Oryzias latipes: one gene and its partner. The protein of the gene in region 1 binds, or shares a complex with, the protein of each later gene. Links are inferred from orthologs where the notes say so. Each region holds a gene or a part of one and is shown in the gene's direction. Other genes may lie near its edges.

Evidence for each region.
Region 2: virma (region 1) and cbll1 share a complex: the UniProt entries of both Homo sapiens proteins name them as parts of the WMM complex. The link is inferred for Oryzias latipes from reciprocal best matches to the Homo sapiens genes VIRMA and CBLL1.

The regions. Positions count from the first base shown.
Region 1 is NC_019874.2:17,770,475-17,774,303, reverse strand, and holds part of virma (protein virilizer homolog), read left to right. Parts: intron 1-354; coding exon 355-441; intron 442-1,364; coding exon 1,365-1,413; intron 1,414-1,504; coding exon 1,505-1,664; intron 1,665-2,826; coding exon 2,827-2,946; intron 2,947-3,829. UniProt on the Homo sapiens protein: Associated component of the WMM complex, a complex that mediates N6-methyladenosine (m6A) methylation of RNAs, a modification that plays a role in the efficiency of mRNA splicing and RNA processing.
Region 2 is NC_019881.2:9,402,383-9,405,690, forward strand, and holds the end of cbll1 (E3 ubiquitin-protein ligase Hakai), read left to right. Parts: intron 1-173; coding exon 174-257; intron 258-332; coding exon 333-406; intron 407-1,411; coding exon 1,412-2,393; 3' UTR 2,394-2,707; downstream 2,708-3,308. UniProt on the Homo sapiens protein: E3 ubiquitin-protein ligase that mediates ubiquitination of several tyrosine-phosphorylated Src substrates, including CDH1, CTTN and DOK1. Targets CDH1 for endocytosis and degradation.

The DNA.
Region 1 (3,829 bases):
TTGATTTAGTTAACTTGTCTCAGATTGATCAGATTGATCTGGTCGGATCGTAAAAACATAAATTGATTAATCGATTCATGGATTAATAGTTGCACCCCTAATGTGTTTTTGTAAGACGTTTGTTCCCTCAAAAAACATTTTTTTTGTTCTGACTTAATAAAGTAGGAGGGATGCTTTGTAAATTTTTAGGTGTTTACTCATGCTCCGCTAATGCTAAACTAATGCTTCATAGCATTATTGCTCACTAAGTCATTATTCTGATTTTTTTTTTAACTTCATATAATTTTCCTGATTGGAAAAGCTTCACAGACCTTATGATTTATTTGATGTAGACATTTACGTCTTACTTCTCAGGGAGACTTCGCCTCATGCTTTCCAGTTGGAACTGTTCTTTAATAATGTTGCCAAACCCAACGGCCCTACCTTCCACAGACTGGGCAGGTCAGTGTTTCTCTTGTTTGTTTTTTTTTTGTTTTTTAACTGTCTTAGCCTGTCAAAGTCATTCACTTCATTTCCTTGTGAGGTTTACAAAGATCCCAGGACACAGAAGTCTGTTTCACTGGTGGAACCGGTTAGAGCAGCATTTGAGTCCTTTTCTCTTCTAGCTCGTTTTGAAATCGACCCTCCTGGTTTCTTTGTTATTTGTGCTCATCTAGCTGGTCTTTCCAGAATTTCTGCTGCACCTTCACTGTAGCTAAAATTGACAAAGATAAAGAGGTCTCACTGAAGGACAAGATTAATGTTCTAGTCAAAACACTTTTATTCTAACCTCAATAACTGGGATGTTCACAGTAGCACCAAAGAGTTAAACTTGGGTTTAGGATTATAAAAATATGTGAATGTGACACACCCAAGGTATTTTTCTGTGTGAGTAAAGTCAGAATTAAATGCTCCAAAATTTGCACCATTGTATCTCAATTATTTTCTTTCTTTTTGAAGTAATGTTATCATGTTTTTAGTAAAAAATCATTTAGTTTGGTCAGATGATGTAGTTAATGAAAGGAAATCTCCTACTAAAACATTTTGACTTTTAACTTTTCCAAAACAATATGCTATAAGTGCTAAAGCTTGAATATTGGGTTTAAAAATGCTAATAATCAGAATCATAACCCAAAATTTAGTTTAGGATTTCTAATTTTACAGATTAATTAAGATTTCTTAAATTGCTTTGAATTAGAGATTTATTAGATCATTTCAGTGTTTTGGCAGTGATACCCAGCCATGGCACAAATGTTTTTTTATTTTTTTTATTAACAGTAGGTAAATCAGTTTTATTTATAAAAATCTGATTTTTATTCAAATTTTGTAATGTTCTGCCATTATTATTATTGTTTAACTTGTCATGTTTTGCTTTGTGTCCTTAGTTTGGAATATGATGAGAACAAGTCAATTGTGTTCAGGCCCAGTGGAAAGGTAAAGCGTTTTTTAATTTTTTATTATAAAAGAAATCTTGACTTTTGTTTTCTGTTGATCTGGGGATAACTGACTGGGCATTTATGGACAGGTGAACACAAACGGCCTTGTTCTGCGTGGATGGTACACTAGTCTGACTCTGGCGGTATATGGGACTGCAGAGCGCTCTCATGGCCATGATCAAGGCTCGCCTCCTCCACCACCTCCACCTCCTCAACAACCAGCTGGACCCAAGAGGATCATTAAACAAGGTTGACTCATATTACTCCTTTCTGTTGTTTTCCTTTAAGCAATATGTTTTTGAGTTACAAATGATTATTTAGTTAGTCATTTGGGTCAATAAATAAAGAATTGTACTAGCCACTGGTAAAGTTTTCAGCTGAGCCCAAAACAGTAAAAATTACAAGAATTAATTTGTTTGATTCAAACCCAAGACCCCAACTTTCAGTCCAAAGAATTTGGATTGTTCTTTTTGGGTTAAATTAGCACATGAAGTGAAAGAGTTTTAACATCCTGTACTGTTTTTCTCAACAGAAGTACAAAAACAGAGTTGTGCTAATATGCAAAGCTGTCGTTTTACTGGTCTGTCAACATTACAGTGCTCACCTATAGTCCCAGGGTCTGAATAATGACCAAGAGAGTGAAATCATAAGCACAGGCTGCCAAGAAGAGCATTGTCATGTCGTAACATCTTTTTACCCTTGGGGGAAGTGTCAGTTATAGTCTTTAGGAGAATTTACTGCTTTTCTGCCTTAAAATCACTGTTAAAATGGTTTGGGCTCTTAGTAAAAATGCTTTCACACACCTTTTGAAAATGGCACTTCTGACATGTCCCACCAATAACACCCCCCACACGAGCTCAAGGACCAGCTGGAAATATGTTTTTGTCGTCCTGGCACTATTATCTAAGAGCTAGCAAAAATAAAGGGGGAGAAGAAGACCATTACAATCTCTGTTCAGACTGGACCTGGTCCTAAAGGGATTGTTTTTTAATAGAACCAATGCCCTTGTTAGATTTTTACCAAATCACCACTTTGAAAGCACTTTCACCCCTCTTAACCAACTTACACCAACAAGAATTGTTATTTTCGACACATATCCTCAAATCAAATCATATCACACTATCTGTCACACCTAGGTGTGTGAAATTTGTTCTTTGCATTTGACCCATCCTCTGGGGGAGCGGTGAGCTGCAGACACAACTGTGCTCAGGAACCATTTGGTGGATTTAACCTCCTAATCCAGCCCCTTAATGCTGAGTGTCAAGCAGGGAGGCATTGGGTCCAATTTTTAAAGTCTGGGATTGAACACACGACCTTCCAGTCTCAGGGCAGTCTCACTCTAACCACAAGGCCACTGAGCTGGTACAATCCTAATAATCCTAGTAATATCCTGACATTCCATGTCTTTCAGAATGGGAAAAAGAGGACCAGTACAATGGCAGCCCTCCTAGACCAGCACCTAGAGGACCTCGGACTCCACCTGGACCTCCACCTCCCGATGATGATGAGGAGGAGCAAGTCCCAGCGGCAGGTAAATCTCAAACACACTTACATAATGTATATATTTGTAATCCATCCTTTTTTAGAACTAGAGTTGCTTTTTTTAAACATAATTTTCACCCAAAAATTTGCAAACGTAATTTAAAGGTTTAATTTCAGTAACGTCACATTTATCTTTTGCACTCCCTTCCTATTGAATCTACAGTTGAATTTATTGCAGTTTTTTCAAGTCTGTTTTTCTTTCTTATATCTTATCTCATGTAGATTAATTTGAAACTGTTTGCGCTGATTATGAGTAAACATTTTTTATTTCCTTTTAGGCCTACAGCCCGCATTCATTAAAATAGGTGGTCATACAGTCTTAAAGGCAGAGCAGACATTAATTCTTAAAGGTTGCAGCAAAATCAAAACAGTGATTCAAAAACCTAAGCAGGTGAAAAGTCTGAATCTACGATGGATGCATTGATGCATTGAATTCAGAGAATGTTTTAGATTCTTTTCTAGTACATGCCAATATAGATATGATATATATGTAGGAATTGTAATCTGCGTGACTTGATTGACTGCCTCCTTTTTTGGCAAAAATTAAGTTTCACTTTAGAGACTTGAGACAATTTTAATTCAGTTCAGACACTTTGCAGCCATGTTTGAAGACGGTACAACACAATTTACAACAGCTCATCTCTGAAAAAAACGTCTGCTTCATACACATTTTTGATAAGTCAGCAGCAGTTAAATAAACCGCATAAAGCAGGCGTGTGTGTGTCAAAGCATGTCAGAATGACATTAGGGGTCTGTAAATGTTGCTGCAACCTTTTTAAGAGAGTATACTTATTTCTATGTCATTCTATCATTTTCTCCCTCTCTGTTTTCCATGACAGGAGAAGGAGTATTAAAAATGAAACATCATTAAA
Region 2 (3,308 bases), on another chromosome or scaffold:
ACGGTTTCACTTTGCTGACAGTGTCATGAAAGAGCATTTTCATGCCTAAGTTAGTATCAAAATGAGTTCTGTCTATATTGGTGTTGTTTTTTTGAACGATACTGTTAAAGTTTCTGTTTTTGAGTATATTTTACCAGTATGTGATTCAACATTTTAAGTGACTTTTCCAACAGCTAAATCTGATCGGTGAAAGAGATGAAGTTCCGATTCACTTCTGTGATAAATGTGGTCTCCCCATTCAACTTTATGGACGGATGGTATGTGCAGAATTTCAATTTCTGTCATTTTCAGTCAACATTTTCTTGCTTAACTCTTGACCTTGCATCTTTCAGATTCCCTGCAAGCATGTTTTCTGCTATGACTGCGCTTTGCTTCATGAGAAGAAAGGCGAGAAGATGTGTCCAGGGTGAGACATGTTTCCATCTTCAATGTGTAGTTCTGTTTAATTCTCTGTTAATTGAACAATTGGAAACAGTTTTTTTATGTGGCTGCTTAATGACAAAACGTAATAGAAAAGTTACTAACAAATTGACAAAAGATTGGAAAATATTAGTAAAATAATAAAAAAATATATATATATATATATATATGGCAGTATAATAATTTTTGCTCTGTAAATTTACATTTGGAGGAATTTCATTTGTGGTTGCAAAATTAGAAACATAAAGCACTTTTAAGTGAAAAATGTTTTGAAACAATTTATTAAGCATTGAAGCTATGATTTAATGCAGCCTTAAAAAAAACACTTTCTTGGTTACGGGTAACTTTTTTCCCTCACACGAGTCTATTTCGTTGAATATGAAATAGCGCAAATTAGATTTAGGATAATAAATTTACCTGATTGAAACACGACATTAAGCTAGTATTTATCAAAAAGAAAAAGTTTTTGTGCTTGGAGGTGGTTGTTTTTGAGGCATATCCAAATTGACATATTTCACAAAACTGCAATGGAAACACTTTTTTCAAACTAAATGAGCCCCATGACCAACAACCGGATGGCGAGGCGTCTTTTGGTAGGAACTGGCTGTCTTGGGGAATGCACAGCGGGCGCCACCAGAGGTCCCAAAGCGTCACACAGCTCATCAAAAGTTGAGCGTGTCATGTGGAATTGTTGGGTCCACAGCTCCTCTGATAAATGATGATGAGCGTTGGTGCTATGGCAGAAATTTGGATCTGTTGTCAAAGTATTGTTCACATCTCTCGCCATATTTTTTAATGATTTATCGCGTGAGTAGGTTCGTATTTATTCACATAATTAGGATCTAAAGGAAACAGTGTCATTGAAAAAAAATTTGTTTTGACATTTCGAGAATTTTGATAGGGTTTACACACGTGTGATGCAAAAGCTGCTCGTAACCTGTAGTTTTATGGTTTCTGTTTGAAGAGACTCAACTGTTGTATGTGTGTTCAGTCTCAGTCTGTATAACTGCACGGATCCAGTTCAGCGCATCGAGCAGTGCCAGCGAGGGTCCCTCTACATGTGCAGCATTGTACCAGGATGCAAGCGCACCTACTTGTCCCAGCGGGACCTCCAAGCCCACGTGAACCACCGTCACATGAGAGCCACCAAGTCCTCCTCGGGCCGCCAGGATCCTGTGCATCTGCCACAAGCACCTGAAATTTCTGATCGCTTCCGTGTGCCTCCTCCTCACATCCCTAAGAACCATGTCCACCTCCCAAACCAAATGCACAGCAGTCACGATCCCTACAGTCAGCCGCCTCCACCGACCCCCCATGACGGGCCTCCCCCAACTCCATCTCTGGGACCAGAGACGTTTCGCATTGCCACTGTAACAACTCGTAAACACAGCAATCTCATCACAGTGCCCATTCAAGATGACTCGTCTTCATCACGGGATTCCCATCCTGGTGGGCCATGCCCCAGCCAGCCCCCGCATCACCACCCTGGAGACTATCCTGGGCAGCCGCCTGTGGTGTCACACTCTCACCACATGATGGCGCCACCTCAACAGCACTTTGGTCCACCTCCTCCTATTAGTCACCCAATGCAGCACCCCCCCCAGGGCTCTGGGACACCACACATGGTCTACAACCAGGCTCCTCCCCCCATGTCTACAGCCCCGCCTCCCCCACCAGGGCACATCATGCCCCCCTATATAAATCACCCACCTCCAGGACCTCCCCCACAGCACACCGGACCTCCTGTGAATGCCCCCCCACCTCACCACTACAACCCCAACTCCATGCAGCCGTTCCCTGAAGACCAGGGCACCCTCAGCCCTCCGTTTAACCAGCCAGGAGGACTCAGTCCTGGGATGTGGCCTGCTCCCAGGGGGCCCCCACCTCCTCGAATGCAGGGTCCACCTCCCCAGGGACAGATGCCAGGCCCCCATCACCCAGATCAGGGCCGCTATCGACCTTATTACCAGTAAACTGAAAGCTGGTTGAGTGGGAAGTCGTCGGTGTTGTTCTTTTCCATACCGCTTGTCTAAGTAATGTGATAGTGAACCTCAGGATTTCAGGATGTAGAACTTTGATTTGGATAAAACTGCCCACATTCAAATGTGTGTATGGTGCACATTTTAGTTACCTGTGCTCCACTTCCCCATGAGCGCACTAATAATTTGGAGAAGAGCAGGAATGTCCCTTTTTTAATAGCTTATTGGAAAGGATCTCTGTATATACGTCTGCTGATGTCAATGCTGAAGTGAAAGACGTTCATTCTCAATAAACTTTTCATGTCATACCTACTTGTCTTTATTTGATGAGTTGGGAGCAGCTGAGTTGATTACATCAGAAGTTCTTTTTTGCTGTAATAAAAAAAAAAATGTTTTAAATGCGATCTCCTAAAAGCTTAGGAAACCCAGATGTTAGGACTTTGCTGTATGTTTTTTATTTCCTTTAAAGAAATTCAATTTTTTTGCAACATTTAATAAAAAACTAGAGACTTATAAATAGAAAAAAACCTGCAGCAAGATGAAATAAGTATCAGAGGACAATGATGCAAACTTTTATGCCAGTCTCACAAAAAAGTTGTACTTGTGCTACCGTTTGGTGTCTTAACTGCAAGACTTTTTTTCCCCCACAATAGTTATGAAAAAAATTGTCATGTCTTATTAACATTCTAGTTTGACTTGTTTGAGTGTAATTGTAAAATTGTAAGATTTCTGAAAACAATGCAAGTCACAGCTGGGTCCTCATTGCATGTTTGCTTTGAGGCATAAGATGGGAGAATGGCAGCACCATCGCTCGCTAAGTAGAGTTGGAATGTAAGGCCAAAGGTCCTTGCTCATGTCAGAAGTTGCGTGTTTTAAAAAGTCATGGAGTTGATGAAACAGGCACAGAAA